2 linked regions of the Sus scrofa genome follow. The protein of the gene in region 2 interacts with the protein of the main gene of each other region in a pairwise test. Links are inferred from orthologs where the notes say so. Each region holds a gene or a part of one and is shown on either strand. Other genes may lie near its edges.

Region 1 (4,279 bases), on a different chromosome or scaffold from region 2:
TAGGTACTTGAATAAGGCCAATGAGGGAAAACCACATTTTTCTGAACCCCACTTTGGTGCCTCTCCCCACCTTTAAGAGATAAAAACCCCTATAGGACAATAGAGAAAGGGGGCTCTTCTCTCCCCTCCCAGCAACCCTGGGAGCGATCAGCTTTCCTTTAATAAAGACATTGATTGCTGCCTGTGTGTTCCTGGAGGTCATCCTTCCACCACCTTGAACGAGAACCCGGATTCCAGTATCATCTTTCTGGCACCAGTATCAGCTTATTAGTTATGATGAATACTAGAGATGAGGTCTCAGAGAATGATCTCCACTCCTGAATAAACATGGTCTAAAAATTTGAGTCCTCAGCCTTTAGAGATGCCATCTAAGGTTTCATCTCTATTGGTCCTGGAAGATTTCTGGTTGCCAGATGCTGAGAATAACTATGATAACAGAATCCTACCATAACAGAATCCTACCTCTGCAGCCCTCTACTTCTGCTTCTCAACTTTCTAGAATGGCACCCCCCATACTATAGTTGCTATCTATAAGTGACTTTTGAGCACTGAAATATGGCTAGTTTAAATTGTAAAAAATACACATCAGATTTTAAAGACAGTACAAAAAATGTAAAATATCCCATTAATAATTTTTTATTATATTTTAACACCTATCTTCTGGATAGGTGTTAAAAAAAGGCAAAAAAAAAAAAAAAAAAGGAATGAGAGGAATGGTGAAAGAAAAAGACTAAACAAAACACCTATCTTCTGGATAGGTGTTAAAATATAATATTAACTTCACCTCAGAGTTTTTACTGTTTTTAATGTGGTTACTGGAAAATTTAAAATGACGTATGTGACTCAAATTGTATTTCCATAGGACAGTGCTGACGTAGGACAGAGCTCGATCTTCAATAACTTAACAGGACAGATAAAATACTATTTGTGTCTACTTTCTAATAAATACTCATTTCTGAATAAGGGACAAAGTTTGGTCTGATATTTGCTTTTATTTAATCGGGTAAAGAAATTGTGGGGTCCTTGTCCATATTGCTATAGACCAAAAAGAATTAAAAATTTTTAGGTGATCAAATGACTTAGCTGTCAACTGTTAGGTAGTAGAAACGTTAAAAACCAGCGATGATAATAACTACTACTAAGTCACATGCAAGATAACAGAAAAAAACTTGGTTGGAATCATGTAGTTTTAAAACTATCACGTATATTCTTTATTCCACAACACGCTATTAAGTAGCAACGATTAATATTAATAATAAGTACTATTAAGAGTCCTAACTTGACTCCTTGCAGAATTAACTGTAACTTCGCATCTTCTGCCTGAAAGGCTTCAGCGGCAATCACATCAACCTCCGCCAGCTTCAGCCGCGGACCCGCGCTACTCGGCCCACACAGCACAGCCAATCAGGGCTTTGGGGTGAGCTACGTCACTCTTCCGAAAGTCCTCTCCAATTTCCACAGTGCTCCTATTCTCCGCCCGCCTCTTTCCTATTTGTCCAAGGCGGCGGCGGACGGCCATTTTAGATTTGGGCGGAAATGCAGTTCAAACTGTGCGGTTAAAAGCCTGAAAATTAAAATCAAGCCATATTTGCACGTTAAACTTAAGGCCCAAGAAAGCAGTCACCTTCACGGACTAACTAGGCCGCGGGCACAGAGAGTGAACGGCGGAGTCGGCACCGGCGCCCACACTCAAGATGGCACCAGCTTGAGAATCACCCTCGCGGCCGCTCTATCTCGGTTCCGGGTTCCTTCGCTTCAGTGGTGGTGTTGGAGGGCTGAAGGCTGGCATTCTATCCGGCTTCCGGACAGTCTCTATGGTGCCGGAGGGACCAGACCTCAGAAGATTGTGGGTGTAGTGGCCAGAGCGTCACGGGGGAGGTGAGGGTGGTTGGTGTCAACAGGGGGCGAAGAGGGGACCGGAGCCAAGACCCTCGCCCGCCTCCCCCGCCGCCCTCCCGCAGGTAACAGGGAGCCCCACGCGGCGTCCTCCGTCAGTGCGGGCCTGGGCCGCGGGGGAGGGGGCCGGGCCGGGTGCGAGGCGGTGGGCGCGCGCGCCCCGATCTCGGGTCCGCGCTTGGGGCCCGCTCGGGGGCGAGCTCGGCGCGGCGCCGCTGCCGGTTGAGCTCTGCACTCCGGCTCCGCGCAGCCTCTCCTTGCTGAATGTGGGGCGCCCTGCTAACCTGGGCTTCCCGGGCGACCCCCGCCCGGTGCGGCGCTGGCGGCCGGAGCTTTCGAAGGAAGCGAAGGAGTTTCGCCTCGCGGGCAGGTGTGGAAGGTGAGGGGCCAGCGTCACAGGACTGCCGCCCCTGCCCCTCAGTGGTCCCGAGGAGTCGCGGTTGGACCCCCGCTCCCCTGCCCCAGCCCCCTGGCCGCCCTCCTCGCAGCGGGCAGGGCGAGTGTGCGCGGCGGGCCGGGACTGTGCCGGAGGCTGCGTGGCCAAGCCGCGGGAGCCTAGGGTTCCCCGCGCTGGATGCTGCCTTCATTTTCGATCCAAGACCAGTGCCAGGCCCCCAGAGGCCAGTTGGCTCCTGTCTTTGGGTAGTGCTTTTTGTTAAGAATAAAGATGAAACATTTCCCGGAAAATCATTTATAGGAAACCATGTGAGTCCTGAATTTTGGAATCCCTGTTACTATTTTTAAGTATTTTTTTATGCATACCCACATAACATCCCATGTCTTAGCTGAAATCATACGTAGTTCTTTTGGTCCATAAAGGCTTCATTATGTATTGCTGGACTGAGTTTAAGGAATGTATATGTGAAAGAGATCAAAGCAAAGGGTCTGAAGTACTGTTATCACCAGATGGCAGAATACGAATCAATACACGGTGCCCTTTGAACTCCCAATGCAAGCCCTTATGGTTGGAACTTCCAAGCCCAGGGAGCTAGGATCAAGATCATCTCGATTAATTGCTGTGAAATGAACAGAGGGAGAGAGCGTTCCCCGGAGCACACTGATTTCTTAGTTTAGTGTATGAGTTGCCCCATGACCTAGACAAGGGCTTTTAGTCCCACAGGTGGCCCAGAAACTTGATATGCTGGCCAAGGAAGCAAAAGGATGGAGGAAGATAGGTGAACAACATTTTAAAGAGAAGATCATGATGCATGTTCATGTCAGAAACTGGCTACCCAGCGTTTATTAGAGGGTGGAGATGGTAAATTCTGCAAAATACCCATGCTAATATCACAATATTAGAATATCCTTTTCTGCATTTTTGTGATTTCTTAATTTCAAAGTTAAAAGGTTTTATGTTTCCCCCTTAACTCCTCAAAACAAAAAAGAGCACTTTGGAAGTCCAGATATTTTTCTTTATCAGTATTACATTTCAGTAAGCCAGTTTTAGCTGAATTAAATAATTTTTAAAACACTTTGTATCAACAGTTTTGATGCCTCTTAGGAGACAGTTTTGTGAAGTTAAGAATTAAGAATTACTGCTTTTAAGACATCTTCAAATTACAGTCAACAGTACATCTTATTTCCCCTTAATGAAGTTTGCACTGGACATGGGCTCTAACCCAGCTACTCTGTAAGCATTGCACGGATAGTATCATGGACTTCTGTCAGCATTAATCATGCTTTCAAAGCAATGAAATGTTATCCTTTTGAGTTCTTACAAGAAAGGGATTCATTCCTTTTTAATTTTTAGGTGGTATTTTCTTAGGGTCTTAGACTCAAATATGCACTGCTAAGAAAAACTACCAGTTTTAACTTCTTCCTATAGCTTTTTTAACCCTCAATTGTTAATGATATTATAGTGGGATTCATAATGTTAGATGGAAGGTTAATAGTGTTCCCACGAGGAACTGTTTTGCTATTTAGAAATGACTAAGTAAATGGCCATTGCTGTACCTTTGCTGACTGCCATTCATTCAGCTAGAGCCCTGCCACTGAACTCTCATGACCGTTTTATCTCCTTTAGAGATTAATATTAAAACTAAGTAAATGGCATGAAGATTCTCTGCCAAGAAAATTTTCATTTTCCTGCAGCAGTTCCTTATGTGTGAATTTTGGAAAGCTCTATTTTGTGGCTAGGAGAGAGAAGGAAGTTAGACTAGCTTCATCCATATATACACTTTCCAAAGTGGCACTTCTCTTCTCCCTCCTCTAGTCTGACTGGTTTTTTCAGACAGGAGGAGTTAAAAAGAACTGCTTGTGAAATGGCAGTTGGTTTCTCAGAGCAGAGACCCATTCAGGCTAACTCAGGGGGTACCTCAGGCTACCCAGGATTGTGGGTGGCAGTGAGGAAGTGGATTTGAAGCTGGGCTTCCTGTAGCCTTGA
Region 2 (4,126 bases):
AAGGCAATTAATGCTGCTCAAGAAGTATGAGTAGGTGTTCTACCGAGTGGACATAGAAAAAAGGCTTTCAAGTTAAGCAAAGGCAGGGAGGAGGGAGAAGCATTGATTTATTCATAGAACCATAAGAAGTTATGAGTGGTTGTAAGGTCTTAGAGCCAGATTTAATCCCTCAAACTGCCGACTCCCTTATCTTGTTCAACCAAGAGCAGCCTGTTCTGGAATGATGACTGCCCTAACTGCATTTTGTCTTTGCTAATCTTCAGTTCCCACCATATCATGGAACATTGTTACAACCCCTCACCTCTCCTCCTACCCCTCCCATGTAGCCTGATGCCAGCCCTGACACTGGTTACTTTAGCCACAAGCCTCTATAAAACCTATTCCCCCGCTAATACCAGGGAGCCTGTGCTTTCTCTCAGTGCTTCTGGCCATCTTCTGTTCAGTAAACCTACTTGAAGCCTCAACGCTCTGGACTCTCTGCCTCTATTTCTGCTCTGAAACCCCACAGCCCTTTCCTGCTCTAACATAGGTAAAGGGTGCAAGGGAGACAAGGGGTGGCTGTGAGACCAGCCTGAGACACACAAATGCCTAGACTCCTGTTGTCCATGACAGCGACAATGGGTGAGAAAGGAAGGCCCAGGCCCAGGTAGATTCAGGGATCATCACACTTTGCCTGGGGCCTCAGAGGCAGGCCCTCCAAGTATCACTACCAGTTGGCATCTTGTCTGGGCCCAGTTTCTCAGCAATCCCAAAGAGACAAGGGTGGAAGACAAGCTGAGCTTTTCATGTCACATTTTGGGAAACTGAAGTCCCCAAGGGCAGGAAGACTTGCTCGAAACCACGAAGTTATACAGTCACATATGACAAATACGAGTCAGCGTTCTCTGGACTCCCAACTGAAGTCTTTTGCTTCGAAGCGACATTAGGACAATGAGACAAAAGGGTGGACATGCTGGTCAGCAAGTGTTTGCAAACTCGAGGACCACGCCTCCCCACCGCCCTTCTCTCCGCCCCCCCCCCTCCCTGGCACTCCCGCCTCCTTCCCCTCCTCTTCCGGACCCTCCTCCGGAGCCCTCCGGCCTCTTCCTGTCCCTCCCCAATGATCCGCCCCTCTTCCGGTTCCTCCCCTAAGAGCCCGCCCATCTTCCGGTGTCTCTTTTCAAGAACGCTTCTCTTCCGGTCCCTAACGGAGGCTCCGCCCGTGCCTGCCCTCTAGTTGAGGACTTGCTCAGGTTGCCTTTCCCGGAAGTGACGCTAAGGCCCGCCCCTCAGGAAGTGACGACAGAAGTGCCCTTGACCGGTGGGGCGGGCCGTGCTGTGCGTCGCTTCGCTCTCGTTGCTGGGAGGTAGGGGCCCTGTGGGGATGGTTCGAAGTGGTATCGCGGCTGAGGCGCCTCTGCAGGCGCGTTCCCATGCAGGCCGATGGCCGAGCGGGCAGAAACCCTGGGTGGGAGGAACTTGCCATTCGGGGAGCCGGGGTTCCCAGTTCCTTCCACACACACGTCCCTTCTTTATTAATTCCCCCCCCACCTGCTCCCGTGTCACTTCGTTCCTATTTGAATTGTTGCTTGTCTTCTTTCCTGAACCTTTGACAACTCTCCTTTGTCTTTAATTTCCCATTAAAACTCCTTTTAAAAGAGTAATCGATAGAGTAAGGACTTTTCAGACTGTCGTGGGCTCTAGTGTCGACTCTCCTTTAATAATTGGGTTGCTTTGGATATGTCACAATTTGCTTGAGCTTCTAAGTCCTTATCTATAATATGAGCAGTAGTACAGTAGAAACTTCTTCATCGTTGATCTGGGAGGACTCTAATGCCTGTAAGATACCTATCTCTTAGCAGGTGCTCCATAAATATTGATTCCTTCCCCCCTTCCGTCTGTTGTAATTTCACCAATATCCTGCTTTTTGGGTTGTCGACCTAGTTTTCCCATCCTGGTTTTCGATTCCTTTTTCCCCTTGATTCTCATTCTTTACTCACTTTTCCTCCAGAAGTCTTATGTATTATTTCCCAACATTTTGTTTCTGGCCCTGCATCTTGAGCCCCCTGGTACTCCCACATACCTTTCTGATTTCTGGTGTGTTGACTTCCTGTTCTTTGCCCCTACTCTTCCTACCTCTTCCCTTCACAGATGGCTCAGCGTCTTCTCCTGAGGAGGTTCCTGGCCTCTGTAGTCTCCAGGAAGCCCTCTCATAGTCGGTGGGCACCCCTCGCTTCCAGAGCCCTGCAGACCCCACAGCTCAGCCTTAGTAACCTGACAGGAACACCCAGCCAAGCCCGGTCATTATACACTACCCAGGTCTGTACAACAACCTTTAACATCCAGGATGGACCTGACTTTCAAGACCGAGTTGTCAACAGTGAGACGCCAGTGGTTGTGGATTTCCATGCACAGTGAGTCCTGGGGGGGTCAGTAGAAGACTGGGTGTCACTTGTTCTGGTATTTATTGAGCACCTGCTATGTCTCAGTACTATGTTTGATGCTTCTCACATAGAGATCGGTGAGACCGAATCCCTTATCTCAAAGATTAGTGTAGTTTGGTAGGAAACCGACTAGTAGGAGTTCCCGTTGTGGCTCAGCAGGCTGAGAACCCAACTAGTATTCGTGAGGATGTGGGTTCGATCCCTGGCCTCGCTCAATGGGTTAATGGTCTGGTGTTGATGTGGCTGTGGTGTAGGCCGGCAGCTGTAGCTCCTATTTGACCCCTAGCCTGGGAACGTCCATATGCTGCAGGTGAGGCCCAAAAGAGAAAGGAAGAGGCAGACTAGTAAACAATCTTCAGTCTTCAGAACACTCCGTGGGTATTCCCATGGTGGTACAACGGCATTGGCAGCAGTTGTCTCTGCAGCTCCAGGCCACAGATTTGATCCCTAGCCCAGCGCATTGGGTTCAAGGATCCATCGTTGCCACAGTTGCGATGTAGGTCCCAATTGCAGCTCAGATCTGGATCTGATCCCTCCTGGGAACTCCATATGCCTTGGGGTGGCTGTAAAAGAAAAAAGAAAAAAAAGGAAGAAAAAAAAAGAAAGAAAAACTCCAAATAGTGCTGTGAAACAGTTATGTTCTGTATCTCACTGCCCAAGTGGCTCAGGTCATCTTTAGCTTGGACCAAAGCAGGAAAAATAAGGCTGTAGTATCATCTGGCTTTTGGTATATTACCAGTTCCTGACTCTGCAGATAATTGTGTTTAACATCTTGCCACCCAAGCGGAGAAGGGCTAGCAAAAAGTTGTCAGTTCCACTGATAAAAGTTAACAGTTGGGTGCCCAAGCGTGCACTGGATGGACAGGAGTTTCTTTCTGGTGCCCTGTGAGTTTGTTTAAAGGATATTTAAATGCCTATGGCATTCTGGTTGTCGGTCTGGCCTTTTTTTTTTTTTTTTCGGTTGTTATTGTTGTTGTTGGCCTTCTTCCTTTCCAGACCTTTGGAGCCTGGCTGGATGCCTGGTTCTAAAACTACTGGACAAACCTTTCAGAATAGGGCATCCTTGGATTTCCCGTGTGGCTTACGACAGAATGGGGCATCCTGAAATGGGAGCCTGAGTTAGAAGTTGGGAGACCTTGTGGGCAAACCACTGACAGATTCTTTTGCTTTCCTTCGCCTTCTTTCTCTGACTCACCATGCTGCCTTGGGCAGGCCATGTGATGACCTTATGCCTCCCTTTCTTCACGTGTGGTAGGAGCTAAGGTCTTGCAGACGGGGCTTTTAGGTGTTGTGAGTTCATTAATTGAAATCTCTGAATGCAGAGGGTCTTCAAAGCTGAGAATAAATTAGGAGTCACAGGGAGTTCCCGTTGTGGTGCATTGGAAATGAATCCGACTAGTATCCATGAGTTGGATCCATGGCCTTGCCAGTGGGTTGGGGATCTGCCATTGCTGTGAGCTGTGGTGTAGGTCAGAGATGCAGCTCAGATCCTGAGTTGCTGTGGCTGTGGTGTAGGCTGGCAGCTACAGCTCTGATTTTACCCCTAGCCTGGGAACCTCCATATGCTGCAGGTGCAGCCCTAAAAAGCAAAAAAAAAAAAAAAAATTAGGAGTCATCAGGCAGGGGTTGGTGGAAGGCAGAGCTGTCCTGCCCTCCTGGTCTGCTGAGCACATTGGAGAGAGCTTCCCAAATGAATGATTTGG

The links. The genes of interacting proteins can lie anywhere in the genome.
Region 1: the proteins of TXN2 (region 2) and SCYL3 interact in binary tests that used the Homo sapiens proteins (3 or more experiments, as listed by UniProt). The two-hybrid records come from large-scale screens. The link is inferred for Sus scrofa from reciprocal best matches to the Homo sapiens genes TXN2 and SCYL3.

Annotation. Positions count from the first base shown.
Region 1 is NC_010446.5:81,132,556-81,136,834, forward strand, and holds the start of SCYL3 (protein-associating with the carboxyl-terminal domain of ezrin), read left to right. Parts: upstream 1-1,479; 5' UTR 1,480-1,961; intron 1,962-2,146; exon of another isoform or gene 2,147-2,275; intron 2,276-2,404; exon of another isoform or gene 2,405-2,601; intron 2,602-3,016; exon of another isoform or gene 3,017-3,154; intron 3,155-4,279. UniProt on the Homo sapiens protein: May play a role in regulating cell adhesion/migration complexes in migrating cells.
Region 2 is NC_010447.5:11,263,313-11,267,438, forward strand, and holds the start of TXN2 (thioredoxin, mitochondrial), read left to right. Parts: upstream 1-1,326; 5' UTR 1,327-1,363; coding exon 1,364-1,402; intron 1,403-2,130; coding exon 2,131-2,393; intron 2,394-4,126.